Regions from separate parts of the Mus musculus genome. Here region 1 is reported to be linked to region 2. The links are microRNA targets in miRTarBase. Many come from high-throughput screens and were not tested one by one. Region 2 holds a microRNA gene; the other region holds the end of a gene's coding sequence.
The links. Region 2 holds the annotated microRNA mmu-miR-599 (UUGUGUCAGUUUAUCAAAC, at 843-861, shown strand). A microRNA usually pairs through its seed, bases 2 to 8, with sites in the 3' UTR of a target mRNA and lowers its output. Matches are read on the target gene's strand: a 7mer-m8 pairs with bases 2 to 8, a 7mer-A1 pairs with bases 2 to 7 and ends in A, and an 8mer does both.

Region 1 (3,544 bases), not on the chromosome of region 2:
CCTGGCATACCTGGGGATCAGGGTCTACAGGGTCCCCCAGGGATTCCAGGGATCGTAGGACCTAGTGGCCCTATTGGACCCCCTGGGATTCCGGGCCCCAAAGGAGAACCAGGCCTCCCAGGGCCCCCTGGGTTCCCTGGTGTAGGGAAGCCAGGAGTAGCAGGACTTCATGGGCCCCCGGGGAAACCTGGTGCCCTTGGGCCTCAAGGCCAGCCTGGCCTTCCTGGACCCCCAGGTCCTCCAGGACCCCCAGGCCCTCCAGCTGTGATGCCTACACCATCACCCCAGGGAGAGTATCTGCCAGATATGGGACTAGGAATTGATGGGGTGAAACCTCCGCATGCCTATGCGGGCAAAAAGGGCAAACACGGAGGGCCAGCCTATGAGATGCCTGCGTTTACTGCCGAGCTGACTGTACCTTTCCCACCGGTGGGGGCCCCAGTGAAGTTTGACAAGCTGCTCTACAACGGCAGACAGAACTACAATCCGCAGACAGGCATCTTCACCTGTGAAGTCCCGGGTGTCTACTACTTTGCTTATCATGTTCACTGCAAGGGAGGCAACGTATGGGTTGCTCTCTTCAAGAACAACGAGCCCATGATGTACACATACGACGAGTACAAGAAGGGCTTTCTGGACCAAGCATCTGGAAGCGCAGTACTGCTTCTCCGTCCCGGAGACCAGGTGTTTCTCCAAATGCCTTCAGAACAGGCTGCTGGACTCTATGCCGGGCAATATGTCCACTCCTCCTTTTCAGGATATTTATTGTATCCCATGTAAAAAAAAGAGAAAAAATAAGAGATTTAATAGAAGAAAAGAAAATGACACACCAAAAAAAAAAATCAATTGAAAACAATGCTTCAAAACATTTATAATAGTTGGAAAGTTATATTTAAGTGAAAGTTTGGACCATCATGTACAAATAAAAACTAAAACGCATGTTTAGTCCTGTGCACAGCAGATTGTAATGGGATCATGGGACCGAGGTATGGATGAAGTACTGACACGTGTGTTGTACCCAGCGGACTCATTAGCTGTTCCATGTTATATGATTTCATAACCTGCTTATTCAAATCAGTCAAAATATCTCAGTCTGGAGCATCATCGCTAATGAACAGTATTCATTCTTTGTGCTCCCTTGTAAAGGTATTTTTGAATATGCCTTAAGAGGTTGATGGTGAGAGTTACATACTGTATTTATTTGCATGCTTTCCTCTCTATTTCATGCAGGTGTTTTACTGTGGGATTTTGGAGGGTTCTTCTGTAGTGCAGGGTCCATGGTAATCTCTAGTCCAAAGGATATTTCTCTGTGTTAGAGGCAATGCTTTGAGCTGCAGGACTACCTAGTCAGAATTGTGTGTGGATGTGTGTGGTGTCCCCAAAAGAAAAGCTATACCAATGGCCCATTGTGTATCTGCTCAGCAGTCTACTTGCCTAGCAACTGGGTGAGATGCAGGGCAGGAGATGCTAGCCTGGGATGCAGGGCAGAGCCCACAGGAGCTCATAGTTTAGCTCAGAGTCATTAAAATATCAACCCATCTAAAGGGTTTCAGTTCGGAATTTTCTGTAACTTTTCTTTTTTCCTTCTTCACCCTTCCACATAATATATAACATAGCCTAAGCAATATAAACAAATCTTTTTTTTACAAAGCCTTCCCTCAAACAACTTTGCCATTTCATGAACATTTATTATTAATAGCAATTATCAGTTGTGTAAAATAAAACAAAAACACTAATGTGTCCACAGAGCCAAGTGTAGTGAGGTTTCACCTTGTCTGCACCTGTCTTAGTAGCTGTCATTTTTTTTTCCCAGTAACTATGAATTTTAAAACTATGACTTATGCCATGAGGTTCCAAAGTCAATTGCCAAAAATCCAAACCATTCTTTTTTTTTTTTAATTTGGGGGAAAAAATCAGAATTACATAGGAAAAATTATATTTTAAAAGAGTAATTATAAGGTTTGATATTCAAAAGCAGGCATGTTGCTTCCAGCAATAGGGACTACGGTTGTAGGAAGATAATTGTTTCTTTAACATCCGCCTGGGGAAGAGATAGCTGGAGTGTCATAAGCCATAGCACCTCAGGCCTACGATGCCACTGCACGCTTAGCACCACAGCCAAACCATGTTGGAAAAGAGAAATTGTTTTTTTTCAGATTCTAATTAAGGCACATAGTAGGTTCTTTGGCTGATGCTCAAAACACGACCAGTTGAACGTTTTCCGTTCATCTGCTCTTGGTTGCTTAGGGGAATAATGTGGAATGAGAGCAATAGAATGTATTCTACTTTTCTCAAAAGTTAAAAACCAGGAGCTGAAGAGAGAGACATAGATTGGAAAATGCACAGATAAATACAGTATAAAGCATGGTCTATTTAAAATCTGAATTATTTTTACCACCACAGTTCTTCTTGCCACGGCTTACTATTGGTCTTTTCCCTTTATGAGGCACAGACACCATTTTTTTCTTGAATTTTTAAAAAAAGAATGTGTTTATTAGCACAAGGTTTTTCATTCATTGTTAATTACACAAGAGCACCTTCGAATCCAAACGAATTTCCTACCAAACCTTCATTTGCAAAGTAAACAGCATGTCTTTGGACAGCTTTCCTTGGGGTCGCTCCTAAGGACACTGGCTTATAGCTGGTCACTATGGAAATCATATGGGTCCCTCGCTCTTTCTGCTCAATAGCTACGTTGAAATGGTCTGGCCAGATGGGTTGTAAAGTTGCTTTTATCTGTACATGTATGGTATTTTAGTTTCCATAAAGAAAGACAGAAATTATCTCTTAAGTTAAACCAAATTTCACTTTTTGAGATATCTTCCAACTTATTTATTGGTTGTTACTCAATTGCCTGCCTCTGTGTGTGTGTGTGTGTGTGTGTGTGTGTGTGTGTGTGTGTGTTATCAGGCATATGCTTCTAAGCTTTTAAATGGAGGAGGAGCAAAAATCTATGCCAGATACTGTATATTCTACCATGGTGCTAATATCAGAGCTAAATGATACTCCATTTAATTTAAAGAAGAGTTTTAAATAATTATCTATGTACCTGTGTTTCCCTTTTGAGTGTTGTCCATCATGTCCACAGTGGTGTGAAAGCAAGTGAATCAAGTATGTGTTCTACTTTCTAGGGACAGTACTATGATCACTTTTTAATACAAAATTAACTAGAGCTTTTCCAAGTGAAATGGACCAAACTGGCATTGTTCTATTTAAACAGAGAGTTTTAATGCAGTATGACGTCCCACAGGGGAAAGGAATGTCTGTAGAGGACAGTTGTCCTCAAATATTTTACAGAAACAAAGAATGATGAAAAGACCGGTAACTTGCTTGAGTTCCCATGAATAGATTTGAGACTGAATGGCAAATCAATTTTGTATTTAAATTTTTTGTACTGATTTGAAAAACAGATCATTAAATATCTCTAAAAATATGTTTCCTGCCTTGTTCATAACATTCAACTGACGCTATTTGAACATAAAGTGTTTCTTAGTAACACATTGTAGTAATCAGCCACTGTATACAGGGTCTAAAAATAATCACA
Region 2 (3,000 bases):
CTCCCGTGTCCACACAGCCCTGCAGCCACACTGAGAAGGTACTGGAATTGTATGATGCCATTTACTCTGCAAAGACTTAAAAAAAAAAAAAAATAGAAGGAATCGCCAAAGTTGTGTTTCCATATTGTATATAGCAGGTAAATTCATCCAAAATTGAAAAGATTTAACAATGTTACTTTGGATTAATAGAATCAGCTTTTGACCTGAGCCTGAATTATATACTTTTAGTGCAAGAATAAATTTCAGAAAATATCTTTCTCACATGACAATTCTTGAACCTGGACAGTATACAAATGATTCTGGTGTACTGTTAGGCTTTTTTGTTTGTTTTTAAAAAATACTACACTTCTGAGGATGTATTTTCAAATAAAATAATTGAAATTAAACAAATATGAATCCAGATAAAAGCAAAAATTCAGACTATCTAATGTTATGCAAAATAGGAAAGTATATATAAAATCAATTCTATTCCATTTTTCTTATTTTAAAATTCAAGTATGTTTATAATGTAACTTGACAATGTTTACCAGAATGAAAGCAAATTAAAGAATTATCTCTTTCATTAATGTCTCTTCTGCCACTAAGATGAACAAGGGGTGCTTCCATCCTATAACCCTGTGCATTTGTTTATTTTTCCTAGGTTTGGGGAAATTCCCAGTTCTGTGGTACTATACCTCAGTTTTATCAGGTGTTCATTAAAATCACCTGAAAATACTGAGGCTATGTTTCACTGAGCATAAGCTTCATGGATTCCTTGAGTGACTGCAGCTGTACTCACCACAAAGATGTGCTGTCCACAGTGTATTTGATAAGATGACATAGGAGAGGAACTTCTTTCACCTTTGTGTCAGTTTATCAAACCCATACCTGGATGACAAGCAATTCAATGGAAGGAAAACCAGTCCCAGAATTCAAAGCATTATTTCCTGTAGAAGAGCTCTGTGCTCTCTAAATGCCAAAGGCATAAATATACGACAGTTTCACTAAATGACTAAAGCCTTAAATAATATGGATAGAAACGGTTGCACTGCTAAAGTTATAACCACAGTTATTAAGGTTTACTGGTATGCTAGGGGATTTGGGTGAAAATAGCACTAAGGATAAATATGTATTACCTGATAATAAAATATGAGGAATTTATGTTAAAATTATGCTTTGACTTTGCTCAAAATTATTGACTTTTATATTTTTCGATTATTGTATTGCTTTGGTTCAGAATCCTCGACAAGAAAATTTATAGGTGGCAAACACAGGTTAAGGAAAGAGCATTCACAAATTAAAAACTGAAATTAGCATTTAGTTTTCTTGAAAGTTACCAATAGTCATAAAGGGTAGAACAGTGTTAATCTTTGACATATAGGCTACTATGGGCAGAAGTGAAGGCTGCAGGGGTCTGGGGGAAGTGTTAATGTGGCTATGTTTAAGCAATTAGTATTTCTCCTGTGGGAACTATCACTTCAAGAATGAAACAAGGACAAATAAGAAGAAAACATTCTATGGCCATTTTTACCTACCTTGATAATCAGGGCTGTGTTCCTTAGTACTTTTGCCAACATGAACTACTTTTCTGGTATCTTAACCTTATCAAAGTTCAGGGTTAGAAATTACAGAACAAAAACATCAGATTAAGGAATGGTTTCAATGAAGGGGATAAACAGCTTCTAAACAAAGGATAAGCCTTTCTAAGTGCATAAAAAAACTATTTAACCTACGACACTAATGACAGTGCACACTGTAATAAAGAAAGAGAAGCATGCGTGGGAAGGAAGTTGTCCTTCACACTGACCCTGCAGAGGAGAACTGTTCATTGCTGGGGCAGGGGAATGACACTTTCTAAGTCTGCATGCCACCTCACTGCTGCTCACCAGATGTTCATACGTGATATATACAGGTAATTTACTATGCATATGTAGTGAATATGTGTATGGTCCTTGCTTCTTAATTTGACACCTAATTAGCTTCTCTGTGGTAAAGATGTTAGGCTGTGGCTGTAAGTGGACACTAGTCAATACAGGCTAAAACAGTAAATAAGTGGCCTTTACAGCATCTCACATTTACAAGTTCACTAAAAAGATATTTTAAAAACAGGGAATGTATGATGTATCATGTACCCATCCTTTCATCAATGAACACATATAGGAAACAAACATACAGAATACTATTTAATTATAACATTCAATTATTTTATAATAGGCATTTAAGAAAACATAACACTATTTTACCATTTTTGTGTCTTGCATGTCAGTAGCCATGGTACACAAGCATTATATGCCAAGTATTATGGAGATTTAAAGGTTTAAAATTATTTTAAGGTCTATTTAACCTGTTTTCTTTTTTTTAAATTAGGTATTCATTTCATTTACATTTCCAATGCTATCCCAAAAGTCCCCCACACCCTCCCCCACTCACTCCCCCACCCATCCACTCCCACTTCTTGGCCCTGGCATTCCCCTGTACTGAGGCATATAAAGTTTGCACGACCAATGGGCCTCTCTTTCCACTGATGGCCAACTAGGCCATCTTCTGATACATATGCAGCTAGAGACACGAGCTCTAGGGGGTACTGGTTAGTTCATATTGTTGTTCCACCTATAGGGTTGCAGATCCCTTCAGCTCCTTGGGTACTTTCTCTAGCTCCTCCACTGGGGGCCTTGTGATCCATCCAATAGGTGACTGTGAGCATCCACTTCTGTGTTGCTAGGCCCTGGCATAGTCTCACAAGAGACAGCTATATCTGGGTCCTTTCAGCAAAATCTTATTAGTGTATGCAATGGTGTCAGCATTTGGAAGCTGATTATGGGATGTATCCCCGGATATGGCAGTCTCTAGATGGTCCATCCTTTCGTCTCAGCTCCAAACTTTGTCTCTGTAACTCCTTCCATGGGTGTTTTGTTCCCAATTCTAAGAAGGGGCAAAGTGTCCACACTTTGGTCTTCGTTCTTCTTGAGTTTCATGCATTTAGCAAATTGTATCTTATATCTTGGGTATTCTAAGTTTCTG

Region 1: the mRNA of Col8a1 is a reported target of mmu-miR-599. Seed matches in the 3' UTR shown: 7mer-m8 at 823-829.

The regions. Positions count from the first base shown.
Region 1 is chr16:57,624,147-57,627,690 of GRCm38, reverse strand. Col8a1 (collagen, type VIII, alpha 1) reads left to right here. Exons shown (of 4, transcript NM_007739.2): 4 at 1-3,435. The coding sequence ends at 780. Among named protein-coding and RNA genes, the nearest start is that of Gm51269, 15 kb to the right of the region's middle.
Region 2 is chr15:35,658,707-35,661,706 of GRCm38, reverse strand. Mir599 (microRNA 599) reads left to right here and starts at 789; the gene lies at 789-876. The region is part of intron 30 of Vps13b (vacuolar protein sorting 13B); the gene reads right to left. Mir875 (microRNA 875) reads left to right here and starts at 660; the gene lies at 660-737.